2 linked regions of the Lepisosteus oculatus genome follow. The protein of the gene in region 1 interacts with the protein of each later gene in a pairwise test. Links are inferred from orthologs where the notes say so. Each region holds a gene or a part of one and is shown on either strand. Other genes may lie near its edges.

Evidence for each region. The genes of interacting proteins can lie anywhere in the genome.
Region 2: the proteins of uncharacterized protein C1orf94 (region 1) and gcc1 interact in binary tests that used the Homo sapiens proteins (3 or more experiments, as listed by UniProt). The two-hybrid records come from large-scale screens. The link is inferred for Lepisosteus oculatus from reciprocal best matches to the Homo sapiens genes C1orf94 and GCC1.

What each region holds. Positions count from the first base shown.
Region 1 is NC_090706.1:1,999,636-2,007,208, forward strand, and holds the start of uncharacterized protein C1orf94, read left to right. Parts: upstream 1-4,557; 5' UTR 4,558-4,588; coding exon 4,589-4,646; exon of another isoform or gene 4,647-4,998; intron 4,999-5,112; exon of another isoform or gene 5,113-5,189; intron 5,190-5,304; exon of another isoform or gene 5,305-5,901; intron 5,902-5,980; coding exon 5,981-6,275; intron 6,276-7,573. Other genes in the region: csmd2 (CUB and sushi domain-containing protein 2), read right to left, coding at 2,554-2,737.
Region 2 is NC_090702.1:13,128,550-13,136,056, reverse strand, and holds the start of gcc1 (GRIP and coiled-coil domain-containing protein 1), read left to right. Parts: upstream 1-4,501; 5' UTR 4,502-4,602; intron 4,603-5,254; 5' UTR 5,255-5,301; coding exon 5,302-6,363; intron 6,364-7,507. Other genes in the region: ADP-ribosylation factor 4-like, read right to left, coding at 3,483-3,549. UniProt on the Homo sapiens protein: Probably involved in maintaining Golgi structure.

The DNA.
Region 1 (7,573 bases):
GTGATTTTAACTGTAGGAGCGCAGAAGACACGTCTGCATCGGTTTCGAGTTTACTAGGTTTAGTTCTAAGCTTCATTTTATTTTCACACCTGTAATACAGCACTCGCGTCTGAGAAAAGGGCTCTAACGAAGCTTTAGTGCCGCACAACGGGAGAGGCAGGCTACTGCTTGCGAGAGCGAATTCAAATAAAATCGCGGAGGAAGGCAACGCGCAATTACACTGCTTCTATATGCTGTGAGACAATAAGGCTATTTATACTTTTGAAATCGCAGTGGAAATTGATTAATAAGCGGCTTTCAAATTCTCTTACTCATTAATCGGTTTAAGGAAAGTAATGCTCTTCTGAACAGATAAGTGGACGACGTGCAGTCTCTGTCTCCATCCTTCTGCGCGCTCCGAGGAACCGGCGAGCTCCGGCTTTAACGCAGAGCGCTTCACACGGAGGCAGTCCATTCATCCGCCCATCGCTGCCGTGACAGGAACATCTCGCATTTGCTTTCTTTGCATTTACAACTAACTCCGACGCATTTCTTTTTTTTTATTATTTCACCCACTCTCTCCGGTTTTTCTTCAACAGCAACAGGACTAGGGAACATCGAGCCGCGGCGTCTGAGAGAGGCGCATTCACGTACAGTAACTGTGTGTGAAGTGGAATCCTCATTATTTTATTTCGGGTTTGCAGTAGTAGGTGATATACAGATCATAATCCTGGAGGCATTTTTGACAAATCAAAGAGAAAGAAGTGTGATTTCTTTTTTTTTTTGCGGACGAAGAGTGTTTGATGTTTTCCTACTGTATGTCTGTCCTTTCATCCATTTTTCCTTAAGCTCTTTATACCCGGAAGCTCGTGGGAGCCGGGCACGGGCAGGAGGCAGGACCACACCCTGGGCACCTGCAGGCATGGCACCAGTGGAGCCACCCAGCTGGTCTCCGGACTCCAGAGCAGCCGGAGACAACCCACCTGCCAGCGCAGAAGTCACAGTCCAGGAGTCCCAGCTCTAGTCAGGAGCTAGCCGCCACGCCGCCCTCTTTTCCCCATTATCAACTACTGTATACAGTATATTCCCTATAATTCGGTAATACAAATATAGTATTTGTTACAGTTAAACGACTGACGAAGTATTGAATAACTGCACTTTATTTAATAACATAAGACGTGTTTATTAAATAAAGTGCTGGAAAGTAACACTGTGGTCCAATGAAAGTGCAGTTTCAAATCTCAGATCAAGCCTTTAATCACCATCAGGGTATCTGGCTGGTGGTTTTATCCAAAACGACGGACCTTGTTCCTCTGTGTACAGATGCGTAGTGCATCACGAGCGCTGCGCGGCGAGTGGCCGTGGTCCCGCTCACACCAAGCGCCTTCGCGTCAAGGATGCGATACAATAAATTAATAACGAGCCTGTAAGGTGACGTAAATCACTGCTCGTAAACATAAAGAGTGACTTTTCTCCGCGGGAGAGTGTTTGCCCGACTGTTCAACGCCAGCCGCGCTCCTTATACAGATACATGGGAAAGTTATGGCGCACAGTATTGATATTAAAAATCAGGCAAAAAGCTCTGTAAAAACTCAGGGTAGACGCGTGCCTCTTGGGGAATTTAATTTTAAAAATAAACTCCATCGTGTCAACACGAGATTGAAGGAGGGACTTCCATCTCTCCTTCGGCAAACAGAATGGTGTACCCAACTCAGCCTCCAGCAGCCACTGCCTGTAACTGGAGTGCGTTATTAAGAATCTGCCGACAAATTTCTCCGTTCTCCAGCTCACACATACTGTATATACACATATTCCACCACCACAACTCCTATACACACCCGCTTCCCCACTACTACTGTAGATTATTAACATAACAGCAGCAACAACAAAAAGTTCATCATCTTAGCCTTCTTCTCGCTCATACACAGAAAACTATTTTTGGCAAGATCGCAGTACTGAATCTCTGCCATTCTTCCAGTCTTCTGTGTACTGTAGAGATTGGAGGAATAGGAGGTTTTTACACAAACCCGACCACATTTAGGACGGAGGGGGTGGAGTTGGGGGGGGGTTACAATCGGGCTTGGACAGAACAGACCAACATGCGAAGGACACAGCAAGTCCAGCGTGCACGACCGCTCCTTCAGCGCACAAGCACCTGTCTTCTATAAACAGGTAAACGGGGTGCCATGCTTATTACACCGACCGAGCAGGACGACGAGCCAATATCACGAAACACGGGGAAAGAGATAAGAACGAAAAGGGGTTTTAACCGCAGTACAGCGGAAGTTTTCTCCCCCTCTCCCCTTTAACACCCGTTTCATGCCTTCACCAGAGAATTCACGCTGGATGCTGAACATAAGCTATTGTATCCAGATAATGGAGGATGTCCGAGGCACCGCGTTATGCGTCCGGTGTGTTTCAAATCTATTTATCTCCGAGGAACTTAACGATGGATTGACAGTAAATAACAGCCATCGCTAACCAACAAGCGTACAGTACAAAAACGCCGTCTTGTCGCACAGGGTACTGCTCCTGACTTCTCCCGCTGGCGGAAACGTGAAATGGGCAACTTACCCTTCGCAGAAGAAGCCAGCAATCCCATGTACAAGAAGAGAACCCGGCTCCAGTAGTGTACCGGCACTTCCACCCTCATTAGCGCAAAAATCCCCAGTCTGTCCAGTTTCCTCGGGCCGCTGTAAGAGCATCTACACGCAGTCCTTACCAGTCCTCTTCCCTCCGAATTCAAAGAGGCTCTCATGGCAGAAATCTGGCAGCGACGCTATCAGATGGTTTGAAAGGGAAGATTCACTTTGTATCGGCGCTGAGAAAAATCCCAGTGCATTGAGGCTCCGCTCCTGCAGCTGGAATGAACCATCTCCTGCAGATCCCGGGGTTGGGAAATCTCAAGCCAAAAGATCCCCCCCCCCCCCCCAAAAAAAAAAAAACCAAGAAAAAGACAAGAAAGACTTATCTAGCCGAGATCAAGGCTCATATGTACTCCTCCCTTCTGGAAATCCGGGTTTTCTATTTTGTGTTTTAGGTAGGGTTAACCCGCCTTCCGCTCTGCTCTTCCTTCGAAGATGGACAGTATTCTTATTTTGATGTATTAGATGAACGAATAGGATAATCGCTACTGTTCATATCCCCGGTCTCACTCCGGTGTGGAATTATAACGCTGCTGCCAATTAAGCGCTGATCAGACGCAACTGTGAAGGAAAACCGATGCCTTTTATCGACAGTAAAGTTTTCCTCTTCTCACACATCTTGGGATTGTCTCTCAGCGGAACAATGGTTCGTTTCTTTTCCAGCTTCTCCTGGCCGTTCGTGATTACCGTATTTCACGTTTTATCGACGCTGCTGTTGAGCGCGGAGACTGCGGAGTGCGGCTTCTCCCCTCTCGCGTTCTCCCTCTCTCTCCTTCGAGTATAACCCGCCTTATTGGTGATCGTGCTTAGCCTATCATAAGGCTTCGTGTCCTGGCGCTCTGCTCGTTCACATGATACTTTTGAGATTGATAATCATACGTTTTAAATGAACGGCTGACCACGGAATGCGTTACACAGGGGGGTCCCCAGGGCCCGAGCCCGCGGGCCGAGACGCCCCCACCTGCCGGCGTGCAGCGCCGCTGAGCCCGTTACTGATCTCACTCTGAACCTTCACGGGTGTTTTTTTTATATATACTGTATATACAGTATATACACCACTCAAAAAGACAAAAGAATGTGTTAAAACCCAGACTGCTCTTGTGCACAGTACACGAAAACGATTGAAGGTATCAGTTTGAGTCCATTACGTATACCGGTTTCTGAGGGATCCACAATTATACTTTCACTTTTCCTCGCAGGTAAAAGCCCATATACAGTATGAAAAACACCTGGCCACGTCCTGTATTGGCACTATCTAACCATTGTGTTCGCCTTACGTGTGTAGAACTGAAATGTATTAATTAAATTACAGGGCAATATCTTTTATTAATATTTGACGGTTTCTGACAAGAACACGAAACCATCATCTAAAACCTGAGTATCGTCCTGGATATCTGATAACACTAAATACTGTAAGCAGTGCATGAAACTTGCAGTATTTTAGTCGGCATTTATTTTTTCATTGGAACACAAATGACCGTGTTGTCAGAATACACAGACGCATTACAATGTGAACGCGTTTACAGTGGTTTACAATTTAGAGTGAACATTATTGCTTTGTACTTGAATCATTTATCATACTCTGAATTATTCACTGACCTCGGAGCAAGAGCAAAGTGGAAATAATTTGAAAACACGCTCACGTTTTTTTTTTTAGTACAACAAAGTTTTTAAAGCAATTAATATTTAACAAGGAGAACAAAGGGAACTATAAGGTTAATACTCTCTGCTCCTCAAAATGCAGTACATTTATTCAAAACAGCGGGACCCAGTAGCTAAAGATGAAAAAAAATAATAATTAAATGTGTAAAGATGATTAAGCAGTGAGGTCACACTGTAAGCCACTGAATCACAAAACGTATTTAGCTGACATCGTACGTATTGCTTATGGAGTGAGAAAGCTTTATCGGATATACATTACACAATGCATATATACTGTACATTTTAACGGTAGCACTCAGAAAATGCCCACGTCTAGCATGTACCGTACATCACGCCCCCAAACCGCCGGACGGGCAGGAGGTAGGATTTTCGATTTTCTGCGGAGAGCAGTAGAATGTGCTTCAGCTGCACTCGCCGCTGCCTCCGGGGAGTAACAAGGACTCGAGAGTTCATCTGTTTTGCACCCGATAGATAATCAAAGTCCTTTGACTCCGAGCATTTGGGGACCCTGCTCGCTCCTGCTGCTGGTCTGGCACCCCAGCTGCACTATCGGGGTATCTCCGCTGGCTCCACCAAAGTCGGCCGAGAGGAATCGTGCCAAAGCGCAGCAGCGGTTTAACTACGGTGCTGAACCAGCCCCTACAGCTCCCATCACCGGTCACACCCCAGTTTCCTGTCGGAAATACTACAGTTGTCACTTTGGATAGACGTGGTAGTATAGATCACAATAATGCAATGCTATTCATTTGTAATACTGATATATTTGGTTAAATGAACAGTTAAGTGCGTTTAAAATGATCTGTGAAACAGTTTTCCGCTCTTCAAGGCCAGACAGCCTCTACAATTGACGCCGAACACACGCCAGTGAATTTCAGTGTCATTTGCATTTCTTCGCCGTAACAGGTAATTAGTTTCCTTACACCCCTGACGATAAAGTCATCCGGTTAATGAAATGTGTCTGTCTTTAAACATAATATTCAAATAGTGTCTACGTGCAGAGTCAAGAATTCATACTCACAAATTATGCTAAATAATGCCTAAAGTGCCCGGGCAACGCCAGTGTGGCATTAACAAGTCATTTAATTGTTTCTTCTCGTCTCCTCTCGGGACTTTGTCTTCCCCTGGCACTGCCCGCTCCAGACCTCCCACGACAGAGAGCTGACAGGTTTCTCCCTGCCGCCATCTAGAGCCTCATGCGCCCTCCGCTTGCGCTTTCTGCGCTCATGCTGTAGGTACAGGGCGAGCAGCTCTGTGACGCCTGTGAGCGTATTATTCATTGTTTAAAACTATGTTTAAACGGCTCCTCGCCATTTCTAAAGCTTCCACTTGCTGTCCGAATTTATCGCCGCACAAAGGTTGTAACCGGGTCTGTTTCGGGAGCTGGAAAGAAAGTATTGTTCTGAAGTCAATTATTTTGAATACCCTTTTCGAGTTCGTTCACTGCCCCTTCTCTGCGAATGTTGCGCTCGTTCTGCCTCGTTGGGCTTTATCCCTCTAAGATATTTTTCTTTGTCGCTTTTGAATTCCCGTGTTATATTCATTCCTATCCATCCAGATTGTTGTGTTTAAATATACCGGCTGTACATACTGTAGTACACGCGCACTTGCACGTACTGTAACCTGTTGTCGCTCAAACTTCTAATACACTTGTTGCTATGGTTTCCTTTATTGTTGTTATTATTTATAAATCACAGATCGAAGAATTAAACCCAAACATTCCATTGGTGTGGTCGGGTCTTCAGGGTGGTCAGCAGCCCAAACCAGCTTCACTAAAGACACTCGAGTTTTCAGGAAAATGTTCCCGAGAGTGGATCGCGTTAAAACCAAGCGCCAGCTGAAGAGGGCCTACGCGGCGGGTCCCTTCCCTCGATCTGTGTGGATACACGACAAAGCGCCCGAAGACGACTTGGATAAAGTCTGCTATGAAATATGGAAGAGGGTTCAGGTGGCGACGGCCGGCTCATCGGCACGGCCTACCGCTGCAGACAGGTACCCGTCAGCCGGACTGAGTCTAGCGCCGCCAACAGCGCCGGGCCGGCACCTGTGGCCGTGAACTCGGCCGGCCAGCAGGGTCGGGAGCGTGTGTCCAAGTACGGCCTTCTCGGCGCGTTACTGCGGGGTCACAGTAGATTCAAGGTTGGATTTCTGGAGAGAGGGCCAAGCTTTTATGCCGCACGTGAGGTTTTAATTTGAGAATAAAAAAATAAGGCGGTCAAGGCTCAAACCTTGTGATTGAGTAAGGGTCATCCTTTAAACCCTGTGTACAACTTTTATTTTATTTTTTAATAATTGATTGCAAATTCATTCATGAGCCGTCGTGCCTGAAACGGGAAAAAAGCCCCTCCTTCCAGCGGCGAGCTCAGTTCAAGCTAAGGAAAAAAAAAAAGTTCAAGCTAAGGGTTCGCCTGCAGTACAGTAGAAGCACAAACGGCGAAGCACCGGCACCAGTCAAACGTTGGAGCACAACGTGACCATTTTTCTTACCTTTCCCCCTTCTTACAAAGTTGCTAGAGCTCCGTTTCTTCCTTTCCTCAGTGGTGCCAAGGCTGCACTCGCATGTTCCTGTGCTGAGAAAGGAGCACATCATTCAGAATCAAGGGACTGAAGAGAAACGCTACAGATCATAAGAGATCTGTGGAAAGACATTAACTTGGAAAGCTCATAGATACTAATTCACAGTCACTGGAAAATATGAGCTACTGTATCATAACTATAGTAATTAGAAAGTCAGTTGTTCTGAAATGTACACCTGAGAGTGGACGCCGGACTCACATCAGGCATTGCAGATGCCTACAAGGAATGGACACAACACAGGACTTCCAGCATTCAAGATAAACTGTAAAAAAAAGTCTGGTGAACTAACACCAAACTGAATCACTTATTACAGCCGTTGTTTTGCTTTATGTACAGTAATTATTGATAACAACAGCTGGAGTTTAAATCGTTTCTAAATCCTTTTCATACTGCTTGAAATTTTCTGTAGAAAGGGCAACTCGTACGTTTTTTGAAAAACTATCTCTTTTTCAGAATTGTCTTCTTCAAATTCCATTATTACAGTGTATCACAGATCTGCAGGGAAAAAAAAACTGGCCAGCTCGCTCCGAGCCTGTCGTTCAGGTGTGCGCGTGTGTTGTCATCGAGCCTGCTTGCGGGTGCTTTTCTGTTGTTTCTTGTCTCGCCTGCTGAAGCTCAGGCCCCTAATCTCCCACACAAACAGTGCCATCTGTCCCCTGGCTGCTCAGGGAATGCCACCTCTCAGGTAACTGTGCCCACGTGACTGTGCCAGC
Region 2 (7,507 bases), on another chromosome or scaffold:
ATGAATTGATCGGTTTCTGACAAAACAGCTGGAGCAGAACCAGAAAGGACAGGGAGCTCCAAGACCAAGATTGAGAATCACTGCATTACAAGATGTAACCCTCAGGAACAGTGCAGAAAAAAAAGTTGCAAAGTTCACACTTCAATTTCAATGATAACATTACAAAAGAAGAAAACCGGACCCCAATTTCAAGATGTGTCTGCAAATCAACATCAGCTGTTTTAAAGAAATTGGGGAAGTCTTACCATATGCAGATTTAGTGTTGCAACACTTCCAATAAAGACATGGTGCAATGACTTTCACATAAAAACACACACTTTAGAATGAAAGCAAAAGAAAACAAAAAAAATCTTAAAATAGCAGCTCAATAAATGTGCACAATCCAATCCTCTTAATTTCAGTTCCATGTCCATGTCATCCCAATTTAATTTGTCTAATCTATAGGAGCGCGCAGACATGCTCATTGCAAAACTGGATAGTGAAGAAAGCTGAAACACCAGACAAATTACTGAGACACAACAGCACAGGAACTAGTGCCTCACATATTTCTTCAAACGACAGGAAGACATTCAGTGACAGGGAAACAAATCTGAATATATTTTAGGAAAAATAACTGAAATATCTTAACAGTAAATGTGATCCTTTTTTTATTGTGAACAGATGAACACCAAAATTTTAAGTACATCTTGGCCAGCGTCACAAAACACACAAAATGTTGGGAGATGAACCCTTCAGCAGAAACGACTGGATCCCGCCTTGATTTGAGAATGATTTTTTTCCACAATTTTCATCTGGCTCATTTTCTCACACATCCGTTAACCTTCCAGCGTGTCTTTGAACTGTGGGAGGAAACTGGAGTACCCAGCAAAAACCTACGTGAATATGGGGAGAACATACAAACTCCACACAGATAGCAACCCAGGTCTTGAACTGAGCCCAGGACCCCAGTCCTGCGAGGCAGTAATGCTGAACACTGTCACCCATCTATGGAGCAATTAGCTACAAACTACAAACGTCGTTAGATGGGTCAAATGGCCTCCTTTCATTGGTAACATTTCTTAAATTCTTACCATACTGAGATTATTGCATTAAAAAAGGGAGATGAGTTGAAGTTGAGTATTGCTGCAGCAGGTGGACATCAGGCCATGAGTGTCAACACTACGTATTTGCACACTGGCAAATAAACACAATAGGGAATCTTCAGAATCTGATGCAACGTGTTTTGGAGTCAGAAATACAGTATTATCCTTGCCATGAAGTTGCAGACGGAACCAGTTAATTTCCATACCGCTTCAAGGTGAAAAACTCTTACTTAACTTCATTTCTACACCATTATAGGAAGATAATCAAAAGCTGCCATCACGGCCCCCCTCACCAACTCTTGGTGTACTTTATCTTAAGCTACTGAATAGCACCTCAAGAGAAAAGCAACCCCAAAAACAGAAATCTATTTTACAAACTGGTCAAACAAAAAGCATTAGATTGAACTATGAACTCAAATGATTTTTGACTGGACACTTAAATCCCACGTATTTCCATTTTCTTCATTTTTTTTAGCTCATGTTGCTTAATTCCCATATTGGTGGATGGACATGCTCTATCCTGCTGAAGTTCTTTCTAAGGAAGCCTTTTATTCTGTTGTACAGTTCTACAGATCATTAGTGAAGTATTTCTGACTGTCTAGGCATAACCACTTAAAGGAACCTGAAAGATCCAACAAAAGGCACCAAAACTTTGATATAAAAAATGCAAAGTAGGGGTTAAACTACAATACATTTAACACGACACATTCTGACATTTATTTTTTAACTTTTAACTTTTTCATTAGCATTTACAGTACTTGTTGAGGTTTGCAACAGTTTAAAATGTCTGATGCTGTGCATTCTTAAAGCAGAGAAAAACATTCAGAAGAGACATTGTTTCATCTAGTTTGGTATTGGTAAGAAAGACATGAAGTAAACACAGGTGAAATGGAAGAGCCGTGAAAAGTAGTGCACGTTTTTGCACAAAAATGAAAACATTCAATTTAAACTTTGAAGTAGGAGTGACAGTTGAGGTTCCAGTTGTTTGTTCTTGTTTGACTGGAGCCTCAGTGATCAAGACAGCCCATCCTGCTGAGATTTCACGAGCAACAGCATCAGTGTGCAATGACAGCAAGATGTCATCACCAATGGTGAACAGTGGACACAAGTGCACACGCCAGGGTCATGACAGCCGTGCATTAATTCGAAGAGCAGGGCAAGACAAGCGAGCAACTGCATATTTCAGCCTGCGGCACAAGCTGCCAGTTTGATCCGAAACAATCCGCAGAGAACTCCGCAGAGTGGGATACCACTGTTGGTCTGAAGTGCACAAAGCACTCATCACATTGGGCAGTACATGTTTTAGAGCCCAGTGGTGCAAAGTGCACAAGCAATGGAATACTGAGCAGTAGAGAAATGTGATTCAGTCAGATTAAACATCTTTCACCATGTTCCTGACAAATGCTTGAGTGCACCTAAAGCCCAAAAGACTTAGTTTCAACGATGAAGGGTGCTGGGGGTTCCGTAATATGTAGGGAACATTTTCCTAGCGTGGTTTGGGTACACTTATTTACTTAAAAGGCAAATCCATGCTTATGGCTATTGTTCTGAATTGTTCTGAATTGTGTACCACTCCTCCATATTTGGAGCACTAGCTTTTCCTCAAGGTGAGTTTGTACTACAGTGCGATGACACTCAACACTTTTACCTACAAAAGAAAAAAAATGTTCTGCCTACTTATATGATGTTTTAATCACACAGCAACATACAATATTACATATAATGAAAATTCTAAATACTAAATAATTCTAAATAATAATCTCAGATTTATAACTGGCGACGGTATGACAAGACCATGGATAGCTCACTTTGGTGCTATACAGTATCTTTGCCAATGTTGCATCACTAAGTGTTCCTTTTACATCCTAAAAAAAGACGGACACAACACTGAAGGCCTAAATAGAGGACTCATATTCAGAATAAACAAGAAATGGAAGAAAATAATGTTTATGTTTTCGCCTTCGAGTTATAATTCCTAACAGTCCATAACCAGTTCCAGTATAGGTAACTTCCTAAAAACAAAACGTTACCATTTTCTAAAACGTGCAGTAACTACATTTAAAACGCACGGACACCGGATTTCTTGCATAATGCAGGAAAGGCATTTCCTAACTGCATTATTTCACAAAAAACCTTGCTAAACGAAATGGAGAAAAGGAATAGGCATTTCGATATCCATCACTATTGTTATCTCCACTCTTTCAACCTCAATGAGCAGCAATAGAATTAAATACCTCTCGTAGTGTTATCGTGACTTATTCGGTACTGTTATTAACAAATCGTGCCGTCCCCTTTGTCGCTCTGTACAGAATGTAACCACAGAGGCCCCATCTTTTCCTCCTCGTCTCTGGGGCAGCTCTAACAATACCCTCCCTCTGCCTCCGTATTGTCAATGCTTACCCATAAGTATCCTCATTTGTTTCTTGCCAAAAAGCTTGGAGAAAAGCGACGAGATAGTGAGGCCCATGTTGTGCGAGAGTACCCCCCCTTTAACACTTCGAGTGATGTCTACAGTTAGAAACAGAAATCGTTTAAACAGCCCCTATAGAAAATGGGAGTCTCTCTACTGCCTCCTCCTCTGATGCAGGTGCCACGTCCAGGCCAACGCGGAAGAAATTACGTCACCGCTTTCATGAAACTTTATTAGCAATCATAGGGTGTCTCATTTCCAAAACTGCTGTAATAAACCCAATCTGCCCCCAAACGATTCTGTGAGCAACGCTCAGAAAAATGTATGCTTTATTTTGGAATGTTTGGTAGATGTATGCAGCATAACACACATGCATTACCTTTGCAAGTACAGACGTAATCTGCTAAAATGGAAATGACATGTCACATTTTATCCGTCCATGAACACAAAGCCGCTTATTCCTGGCAATGGCCAGAATAACCCGGTGTCCTGTCCGAGAAGCATAAGGCACATACAGGAGCATGCCCCGGGCAGGACACTATATTTTAATATTTTCGTTAATATTGTACCTCGAACAACCTGCAGGGTCCGCCGTATGCGTTACAATATCAACACCCTGTAAAAGGTATTTACAACTAATGATCGCTGCATTATAATAAGATCTTTAAAATAAGACCCCGCGTTTTTCGTTTGTTCTGCTAATTCAATTTGAACATACATTTATCTCGTCTATTGTCTAGATATCTCAGGTTGTTAGTTAAAAAAAAACAGCCAGGAGATCAACCCGGTGGGGAGCAACAATTATTTTACGATACGTCGTAATTTTGTTTGTTTATTCTGAAACAAATATAAAGTAAAGAGACAAGCATACAAAATAATAAAACTCTTCTCTGAATGCTTCAATTTTTCACAGACTAATTATTTCCGACCTTACTAAGATGGCCCCCATAAATTTGTTGTAAAAACTTTATTGCTTAACAAATCCAATATACATGAAAACTCAGCCGTTACTAAAAGGACCCTTTCCAGGAAGTACGAGTTACGGACACGTAAGCTGTGTACAAGATAGCAAGCTTAAACGACTAATCGAGGACAGAGAGAAAAAAACAAGTACGTTTGCAGCTTTTTCATTAGTTCAAAATACGAAATGTAGAGTTAGTAGATGTTCTGTATTCGAGACATTTCTCCATGTGACTGTCAGCTTTGTTAGGCCTCCAGGAAAATTCCAGATATCACAACATTGCACTTTGTTTTTATTTTTTATTATTTATTCATAATGGAATTATTAACTTTATGGCAGCCGTTGCTGAAAGATGGAAACTAAAGCTGAGAATTACATCTTAAATTAGATATTCTTGAGTAGAGGTTTGCTTGCATAATTTTATTAACTCTTATTTTGAGTAGAACTGGTCTTTTTAGCCACTCAGAATGCTTTTTCCTTCAGTTTTTTTTCAGTGCACTGCTTTTTCCTTCAGTTTTTAAATCGGAGATTCTCTTGGTTAGCACATTACAGTTTGAAGTGAAAGAACGACATCTGAACTCGTTTCTATGCATATCTAGTTCTCCTTTGTTGCGAGAATTGAATGACAAATGCTCGGTTTTATACGGTGGTTTGCTGTGTTTTATTGCATATGCGAAATGATCATCCCCACCGTCTTTGTGCGTGTATTTGTTTCACGTTTATTTTTTTACTTAATTGTTACGGGGATTTCAAATTTCATGTTAAGTTTTTGTCTGATTCATTTTTCTTTTTATTTCATAGTGCCTCGGGACATGACGTGTATGATTGTTTAGCTGAAACCAGCAAACATGGAGAAGTTTGGAATGAATTTTGGGGGTGGCCCCAGTAAGAAGGAGCTGCTGGAAACTATAGAAAGTCTGAAAAAACAGCTGGTTCAGTACCAGACCCGTTTTAAAGACGTTGTCAGGGCTTACAAAAGCCTTCTGAAGGAAAAGGAAGCTTTGGAGGCAAGCTTGAAAGTTCTGACTGTATCCCAGGAAGCTGACTTGAGCTATTCGAATGCAACGCCTTCTGGGGCCTCTGGCCTGGAGCGGCGTTCTTCGGACCTTGGAGACGACAAGTGTTCGTTGCACAGCGAAGACAGCGCGGACACAGCGGCCAGTGTGGACACCGCTAACAGCGTGGCCAGCAGCAGCACCAAGGGAGAGGCGACCGAAGAAGAAAAGAGCCTTGGTGAGCACGGGCCGGCTGTGTCCGCTTTGCAAAGGGCTGAAGACAATAATGGCTCGGAGAGTGGCGTCAGCTCCAGCAGTGGGGAGCAGCAGGTGGCTGGGGAGGCTGACAGGAGAGTCCTGCAGCTGAAAGCCCAGCTGTCCACCCTGACCAGCTCCTTGGCCACTGTGACGCAGGAGAAGTCAAGGATGGAGGCCTCCTTCCAGGCGGACAAGAAGAAGGTGAAGCAGGACCTTGAGGATCTGTGCAAAAGCCTGGAGGAGGAGAGGAGTCATCATGAAGCGGAAGTGAGAAGCCTGCAGGAGCAGCTCGCGGAGGCCAAAGCCCGGGTCATCACCCAGCAACACGAGCGGGCACAGGAGCAAGGAGACCACGCGCTGATGCTCCGTGAGCTCCAGAAGCTGCTGCAGGAGGAGCGGGCCGCCAGGCAAGATGTAGAGCTTAAGCTGGAGGAGACCAGAGAAGCTCTGGTAGAGAAAATGACAACCGCCGACCGTGTGGGAGACTATGAAGCCCAGGTTAGGGTGCTTTCCACGGAGCTGGAGGAAATGAGGAAAACTCTCGAGGAGGCCGAGAGAGAGAAGTGCAAAGCCGACCCCCGCGTGGGAGAACTACAGCAGGAGATTGAAGATCTCAAAGCGCACTTCCAGCTACAAATCCAACAGGAGATGAGAAAGGTAATTTTGGTTCTCTTTCATACGGTATGTTCTTTAGCTCTTGTGAGTAGTTCATTCAGCAAAGAAGCTTGAAGAGAGTGGAGGCTGAGTATTGCAATCCAGGAGTCACAAGTTCGAACGTAGATGAGATTTCATAGGTTCCCCAAAAGGCAGCACAAAATCAGCTGAGCACTGCTGAAATTGATTTCCCCTGCCTGCTGCACAACAGCAAGCCTTAGAATCGACCAGGTGCTCGCGAGCCTGCGGTGGTTTCTGTGAGAGACGCACCATTGCTCCTGACACTGCTATCTCTCCTGTGAGGCACAGTGGAGCTCGCTGAGTGTTAAATGATTGACAGTGTGGCAGGTGTGCACGCGCATACAGTGCAGCCTGTAAGTATTTGGACAGTGTATTTGTTTTGGCTCTGTATTCTAGCACATTGGATTTGAAATAAAACAATATCCATGAGGTTAAAGTGCAGAATGTCAAGGTTAATTCGAGGGTATTTATGTCTATATTGGGTGAACGATATACACAGCCCTTTTTACACATAGTCCCCCCATTTCAGGGGACCAATAGTAATTGGACACATTAACATAATCTTAAATAAAATAGTCATGTTTAGTACTTGGTAGCAAATCCTTTGCAGTTGATGACTGCCTGAAGTCTGCGACCCATAGACATCACCAGACGCTGGGTATCTTCCCTGGTGATGCTCTGCCAGGCCTGTAATGCAGCCATTTTCAGGTCCTGCTTATTTCGGCGGCTTTTTAGCTTCAGTCTTGTCTTCAGTAAGTGAAGTGCATGCTCAGTGGGATTCAAGTCGGGTGATTGACCTGGCCAAGAAAGTTCCACTTTTTGGCCCTGAAAAACTCCACAGTTGCTTTAGCAGTATGTTTGGGGTTAAGGCTCTGCATGGCTTGGCACCTCAGTACCTGTCTGAACTATTATCGCCCTACTCTCCACCTCGCAACCTTCGCTCTTCTAATTCTGCTCTCCTTACTGTCCCCCAAGCCTGTCTACATTGTATGGGTGACAGGGCCTTCTCCTGGTATGCCCCCAAGCTCTGGAACTCTCTCCCCAAGGATATCAGAGAGTCACCTTCTCTAAACTCCTTCAAATCCAGACTCAAAACCCTCTGCTTCAGAAAAGCCTTTTCTTAACT